2 linked regions of the Canis lupus familiaris genome follow. The protein of the gene in region 1 purifies or fractionates together with the protein of each later gene. This does not show direct contact. Links are inferred from orthologs where the notes say so. Each region holds a gene or a part of one and is shown in the gene's direction. Other genes may lie near its edges. The genes, in order: SSH1 and YWHAE.

Evidence for each region.
Region 2: the proteins of SSH1 (region 1) and YWHAE purify together in Homo sapiens (affinity purification with mass spectrometry; 3 studies listed by BioGRID and IntAct, with this or other methods). This does not show direct contact. The link is inferred for Canis lupus familiaris from reciprocal best matches to the Homo sapiens genes SSH1 and YWHAE.

Annotation. Positions count from the first base shown.
Region 1 is NC_049247.1:18,469,022-18,472,831, forward strand, and holds part of SSH1 (protein phosphatase Slingshot homolog 1), read left to right. Parts: intron 1-293; coding exon 294-488; intron 489-1,760; coding exon 1,761-1,854; intron 1,855-3,170; coding exon 3,171-3,299; intron 3,300-3,810. UniProt on the Homo sapiens protein: Protein phosphatase which regulates actin filament dynamics. Dephosphorylates and activates the actin binding/depolymerizing factor cofilin, which subsequently binds to actin filaments and stimulates their disassembly.
Region 2 is NC_049230.1:45,528,485-45,532,394, reverse strand, and holds the start of YWHAE (14-3-3 protein epsilon), read left to right. Parts: upstream 1-1,016; 5' UTR 1,017-1,139; coding exon 1,140-1,203; exon of another isoform or gene 1,204-1,843; intron 1,844-3,910. UniProt on the Homo sapiens protein: Adapter protein implicated in the regulation of a large spectrum of both general and specialized signaling pathways. Binds to a large number of partners, usually by recognition of a phosphoserine or phosphothreonine motif.

The DNA of each region.
Region 1 (3,810 bases):
CTGGGTGGGAGGGTTATGAAGTTTGTTCTGTGTCCTTGTTGGGAATGGTGACGGCTGTCCTATCCACCCTCGGGCTTGAAGCACATGTCTCAGAGACTAGCTCTGTGACCTGGCAGCCTGGAGGTTTTGGGCCGCCTTGTGTTCCCCACATTACCTTATACACACAGCAACTCCCAACTCAAGGTGAGTCCTTGAGGGATCACCCTGCCCCGTTCTCCACTCCTGTGTTGAGGTAAAAGCCTAGCACTCTCTGTACCTCCCCAGGCCTGACCCTGTCCCTGTCCTTACCCTAGGTCTGCCCTGCAGGTCCTTCACAAGGCCTGCGAAGTGGCTCGGAGACACAACTACTTCCCCGGGGGCGTGGCTCTCATCTGGGCTGCCTACTACGAAAGCTGCATCAGCTCCGATCAGAGCTGCATCAATGAGTGGAACGCCATGCAGGACCTGGAGTCCACACGGCCTGACTCCCCGGCCCTGTTTGTGGACAAGTAAGTGCAGTGCTGTCTCGCCTTCACCCTTGCCCACCCCTGTGCTGGGCCAGTCCCTGAGTCGCATGAAGTCACACTTCCCCGTAGCTCTTGATTGAGGGTCTCCTGCCCAGGACCAGCATTCCAAGCAGGGACTCCTAACCTACTGCCCACGGATAATGTTTAGCTTAGAGAAGGATCCGTGACTGCCACCCCACTTGTGAAGCTAGAGACAGATTTGGGGGTGCGTGCATCTCTGGGGAGCAGCTCCATAATGCCCATCAGCTTCTCAAAGGAAAGTGGGACCCACATGTGTCACCGGCTCTTGGGCAGTGTTCTGGGATCTACCCCTTCGTCTCCACGTGGCCAGAGACTTAATTCCCAAAGCCTTTTCCTCTATTCTTAGAAGTATTATACATCCCTCATCCTGGGATCCCAAAACACGACTGCCTCCATGCTGGCCAAAGGCAGCCTGCCTGAGAGGCTGCAACAGTGAATCACGTGGCTTATGTCGTGTGGCCACCGGCAGAGCTCATGCAGCCTGAGGCTGCATAAGTGCAAGTCCAGGTCCAGAAAAAGGAAATGGCTCTCTGCTTCTATCTTGGTCAGGATCCTCCTCCCCTAGACTCCTGTGCGTCCCTCTGGGACTGTGTTACAAGGACTATGGGCAGAGAGGTCAACTTGAATGAGGAGAGGACCGGAAGCCACATTCTGTGAGGCCCCAAATGATGAGAGGGTTGGGGAGAATGATAGTTGCCTTTGAATATATAAAAGGGGCCTCCGTGGAAGAATTAATCCTGGTCTGTGTAGAACCAGGGGCTGATGGGTAGAAGTTACAGGGTAACACAGATTCTCTATGTAAGAAGAAGATAATGGGAGCCGGACATAGTTGGGACTATGGACTGCCTCTAGACACAGTGATGTCCCCACCCCCAGACGTGTTCAGACAGAGACAGAAGGGTCTGGAAGGTGGTGGGTGGACGTTACTCTGGTGCTCCCAGCGTCTTGTCCTGAGAGCCTGATTCTCTGCAGATCTGCACAAGGAATATGCTTTCCAGCCATTGTTTTGTGCTCTCCATCTGCTCACCACTCTGTGGGCTCCCATGGAAGTTCCAGACACAGAGCAGGACCACTCTGTCCCTTTTCCCTCCTCCCAAAAACATGCACACCAAGAAGGTAGCTCTCTGAGTCCAGGCCATGTTCTATGTAGCCTGAGAGCATCTGGTGTTTCTGTAAACACTGATCTCAGGCTCTTTGTCATTCTGCGACTTACTGAATGTCATTTCTTTCCAGGCCAACCGAAGGGGAAAGGACTGAGCGCCTTATCAAAGCCAAGCTCCGGAGCATCATGATGAGCCAGGATCTAGAAAATGTGACCTCAAAAGAAGTAAGAGAGCTCTTCCCTTAGTAGGCCAGAGGTCACACAGTGTTCATTTATCCTGTTGCCCAAAGCACAGAGAGGCCTTCCTTACTGGTCAGCTCAGCGGCTCTCAGAGGCTTTTTCCCCCTGCAGGGCTTAGCAGAGAGAGCGCAGGCTTTAGAGTCTGACTCTAGTTTGGATCCAGCTATGCTGCATACTGATGGGGCCTTGAGCAAATTTCCTGATCTCTCTGAACCTGCAAGACCTTTGGTGATAATTTCACGAGACCTGTGGATTGCAATGGATTGCACCGAGACACGTTTTTCTATTAGTGTCCTTTCCTCTGCGTTGTGTTTTACTGAGATACAGCAAACAAGATCTTGTTTCTTACTTCAGGATTATCACTTACCAGCAAGTTACTGACTCTGGACTGCCTTCTATTGTGCCTTCAAAATTTTTCTGGATCACTTTTCTTTTTTCAGTTGCTTTTGGTTCAAGGAATGCAATGAATTATTATGGTAGCTTAAACTAGGCAGATATAAGGGCTTGGAAGGGCCGTTTAAAAAACCCATATATCAGGACAGCCCAGGTGGCGCAGCGGTTTAGCGCCGCCTTCAGCCCAGGGCCCAATCCTGGAGTCCCGGAATAGAGTCCCACGTTGGGCTCCCTGCACGGAGCCTGCTTCTCCCTCTGCCTGTGTCTCTGCCTCTCTGTCTCTCTGTTTCTGAGTAAATAAATAAAGTCTTTTTTAAAAAAAGCCATATATCATCTTTTATTAGTTAATACACATTAAAAAAATCATATTATGATGCCTCCCAAAGCAAGATGAAAACTAACAGTATGTGTTGCCTGTGATATATTTGATTTTTTTAAAAAAAGATTTTATTCATGAGAGAGACACAGAGAGGCAGAGACCCAGGCAGAGGGAGAAGCAGGCTCCGTGCAGGGCGCCTGTGTGGGACTCAATCCCAGGACTCCAGGATCATGCCCTGGGCTGAAGGCAGATGCTCAACCGCTGAGCCACCCAGGCGTCCCATATATTTGATATTTAATCGTAAAAATATAAGTGCCTTAACTGAGTAGAAGAGATCCCATGTGAATCAGCCTCTTCATATAAAATAATCAGCTTTTCCCAGTCAGGCTGACTTTGAGGCTGTGGGTCCTGCATCTCTACCACCTGCATGTGTGCTTACTATGGGGTAAAAAAACAAACCACAACACCAACAAAACACCTTTTTTGAAAACCACCGCAGTTGAAGTGGTGACTTGACCTCTTTGGAGGTGGGCCACTGTCATTTTGCTTTATGACAAATCACTTTTTCCTGCTGTTTTCCACTCCACAGATCCGTAATGAATTGGAGACGCAGATGAACTGTAACTTGAAAGAATTTAAAGAATTCATAGACAATGAGATGCTCCTTATCTTGGGACAGATGGACAAGCCCTCCCTTATCTTCGACCACCTTTATCTTGTAAGAAGCACAGCGCACGGCAGGGTCTGGTTGGGGGAACATAAATCAACAAACCTTGATTGTTTGAAGTTTGCAGCAAAGTCAGAGAGGGGGAGAGAATTTGTGTTGCTGGAACCTCAATCCTGGCTGTTCTGGGAACTCCTGTCTTTGACCCCCTTCCTCTGGTATGCCCTAGTTTGCTCTCAAGCCAGATGTCTGAGATGTGGCTCCCAGTTGAGCTGTGGGGAATTGTTTGAAGGCTCTCTGACATAGGCCACGTCGGCAGTTCTCAGACTCTCTCCATCCTTGGTCTGCAGTCAGTAACACAGAGGCCCCGTCCAATTTCCTCCACGTGGTTTGAGGGCTCAGAACCCCAGTTCTCACCAAAACCCAGAATTTGCCTGGGCATTGCCGAGATGTGAGAAACAGTAGGGAAGACAGACCGAACCCCCAAAACATAGCTTCTTCCCCTCTCTCTGTCCGCATGGCTACTCTGTGCACTGTTCCCAGGCCCATCAAATGGACAGGCCCC
Region 2 (3,910 bases), on another chromosome or scaffold:
TACTGAGCCACCCAAGGGCTCCCAATCTCCTTTTTTTTTTTATTTTTATTTTTATTTATTTATGATAGTCACACAGAGAGAGAGAGAGAGGCAGAGACACAGGCAGAGGGAGAAGCAGGCTCCATGCACCGGGAGCCCGACGTGGGATTCGATCCCGGGTCTCCAGAATGGCGCCCTGGGCCAAAGGCAGGCGCCAAACCGCTGCGCCACCCAGGGATCCCCCAATCTCCTTTTAATTCCACATCTATTGCACACCCTACCACATAGTTTATATTCGAATCTGAGCTTCAGTTTTGCAACCAATATTTATTGAGTACGAGGTGCTGGGAATCCACTAGGAAGCAAAACAGGCCAGTTCTTTCCCGGTCCTGCCTCCTCAAGCTCGATTTAATCTCCGTCCCACTCTTCCACACCCTGCACTGGACAGGAGACTTCTCTAACAACTTCCTTGTTCCTATCCATGATGGGCTTAAGGCCAAAAAAAAAAAAAAAAAAAACCGCGCTAAAAAGAAGAAAAAGATGGCAAAATGGGAAGGCGAGTTGAGGTGTGAAAACCGGGAGGCCCCTCTCCCCTACTATTTATAGCAGACCCTCACTCTTTACCCCGAGTGGAAAGGATGTGAAAAAGGCCCAGCACTGGGCTTGTTTGAGAAAACAGGGGCCAGGTAGGAGAGAAGTTGGGTTTCCTGAGGAAGGCCTGCCATTACAAAGACCACTACAGGTTTCTCCGCCCCCTGGTGCAGGGGTCGGCCCTCGGTTCACGGACCTGGATCCCTCACTCACTCGCTCGCTTCAGGAGCGGTCCAGGCGGGGCCCCCCACCCCGCCCTCTCTCGGGGCTGCTCTCCTCCCAGGCGTCGCAGTTCCCGCCTCAGCTCTCCAACACCCGCGGAGCCCGTGGAGGAGGGACGTCTAGCTGGTTCCAGCGTCTTCGGGCTCAGAGCTCCCGGACCCGCCCCCCGCGCCAGTTGCCAGGGAGCGGTTGCCATAGAGCTGAGCAGTTGTCCGCGTGCGCAGGCGGAAGTCCCGGATTGAGGCGCCGCCATTTTTGCTGCCCGGACACGGAGCGAGAGGCTGAGAGAGTCGGAGACGCTATCCGCTTCCATCCGTCGCGCAGACCCTGCCGGAGCCGCTGCCGCTATGGATGATCGGGAGGATCTGGTGTACCAGGCGAAGCTGGCCGAGCAGGCTGAGCGATACGACGGTAAGTTGGGGGGGCAACAGGGGGCTGGAATTGTCGGACCCTCTGCCGCCGCCCACAGAGGCCGGGAACAGGAGACAAAATGGCGGCATCGCCTCCGAGCCTGGCCGGGGATGTGGATTCGAGAAGTAGGAGATGGCCTGTGGGCTCCCGGAGCGGTGGCAGGCCCCAGGCCCAGGAATTTGATCCCTTTGGTCTCCTCCGCTGCAGACACTGGCGGGCCAGGAGGCCGAGGCGAAAGGGTGGAGGAGTTGGTTGTAAAATGGCGGCTGGGGGGAGGGCGAGTCCCGGGGCGGGGGAGGGGGAGGAGATGGCGGGTGTTATCTCCCGGCGAGCAGTCCCCAGGGGAGCTTCTGGGTCATCTTGGGATGTGGAGAACAATTGGGTGGGGTGATGGGGGAAAGAAACACTCGCCACATGGGGGAGAGTAGCACCAGGAGCTGCAACGCGGACGCCTATCAGGGAAATATGGCGGGTGGGGGCGGTGGCTTTTCCCCGGAGGCCCAGTGTGGGGCGGCGGCTGTGGAGGCTCACAAAGGAGAATCCTTGCGAGCGGAGGGCAGCTTTGGGTGCGTGGTGGAGGGCAGTCTTGGATGAGGGCTGAGGAAGGACCGTGAGAATCACTGCAGTTCATCTTTGAGCAGAGGCCAACTGAGATGCTGCGATCGGATTTCCTTTCTGTAGGCCGGCACATCTCGTGTTGAGGGTATTCCAGGCTTTATGTTCAACCTCGCCTTCTGGGGAGGTCTAGAAAAATCTCACGATCCCTTTCCTCAGACTTACCCTGGAGAGCTCAAAGTTCCTGTAAGCATTTTCTTGCACCGTTAGTTACGGGTTCTGGTGGATACAGCTTTGTACAGGAAACAAGAGACCATGGCTTAGTCCCTCAATTGCCCAGGCCTCAGTTTACCAGTCTTTAAAAATGATGACTTTCGTGTTTACACTAGACGCGCCGCTGTGACAAATGGAAAGACCTGTTGGAAAATAAAGTTATTTCAAATAACGTTTAGTAACTGTGTTTTGGTTGACTCCCCGGGCTTGGAATGGGTGTTTATACTTCATTGGGAATCTTAACCTATCCCAAGCAATCGCCCGAGGCTTGGGTTTTTGGATTTTGAACATAAGGCTTCCCAGCAGATCCTATTTTATTTTTTCTATTTTAAATAAATGGCTTTGTGTACAGATTTGAACAGTTCTTTGTTCATTGGTTCTTTGCCCCTAAAGGTTCTTTAGTCCTTTTTTTCAGAACTTGATCGAAATGTCCATTGTGTCCGTTTAGTCAGTCTCAGGCTGCTGCTTTTTAAAATTGCCCCCCACTCCCTCCATTTTGGGTCTAGGTACTTGAATTACCCCCATATCCGTTAGATTGTAGTATTATAAAGACACAAATTCTTATATGTGGCTTCTGTGGTTTTAATGCTGTCTGGGGTGAGACAAGGTTGGAATCAAGTGCCATTGATCTTCAGATTTTTTTCGTAATTACTGTGAAGCCACTTTTTCAAAACATTATGTAGGGCCCTTGCTTTCCTTGAATGCCAGATTGGTCATGTGAGTAGCCTCAGGGGTAGTCCCAGTACATCCTCATACCTTAGGATTCAGGAATTTGAAAATCAGGAAAAAAGCCCAAGAACTCAAAATGAGGAAAAGCGTAGTGCACTAAATTTCGTTTTGTAAATCCTTAAATGTCTGCAGTATTGAAGGAGATTCTTGTTGGGAGGGGGAGGGAAAAAAGATGAGGAAGTACAGCTCAAGGTCAGATTTGTCCTTAATTCAGTGTTTAAAAGTGAAACAGTGTAGGTGTGCTGGTAGTGGAAGTTTTTTTTCTTCTTCCCCCTTGTGCACCAAATGGGTTCCTCTGGTAATGCATTGGTGTCCTTGGGAGAAAACTTGAAATTATATTTGAGTGCTTTTTGGTCTGTAAGGATTTAGGCTTTGGCTAAACTTTCTGGGATAACGAAAAGGACGTGGAGGAAGGTTTTTTGTGTCTTTCTTAAAATTTGTTTTAAAAACTTAATTTAGAAGCCCCTGGTTGTAGCTTTCAAATAAGTGCCAGTTTAGTGATCATATTTTGTAGTTGGGTGCTGCGGAATTTTAATGAAAGTCCTTTTTTGGTTATTCAGCATAGCACTGTATAGAGAGAGCCACATCATTAAGTTATTTAAATGTTGTGTCTCCTTCAGGATATAAAGGGGGAAGAATATAGGATCTACCAGGTAGGAGGGACTTATTGGAAAGGAAGAAAAGGAAGGCAGTCATCAGGAATCAGCCTCTACCTGTGTCCATTCCCTTATTGGGTGCAATAATTAACTTTTGTTTGTGGTGACAAAAATTCCCCATAGTTTTAGTCACCGAACAGTATGTGGTTGGGGAGTGGAAGAAAGGAAAAGTGAGTCTGAATGATTTGGGTTTGGATGCTTTGACGTAAGGACTGGCTTTTCTTGTTCCTGCAGTATCTTTTATTTTGCATACTCTGTTGAACCTAATACTTCTGTGTAGCATTATTTAATTATATTTTGGGGAATTGGAATCAATTTATATGGATTACTTAATCGTACTAGAGGAAGAGCTAAGTTGTGTTCAGGAAAAAGACACTTGTGGGTTGCAGATAGGAAATAGGAAGTTTGGAGCTAGGACTCTTCACATTGAACATCCTTTGAAGATTAAATGTAGCCTCTCATCACTTATGAAGTCTGTAGTCTAAGAAGTAGTT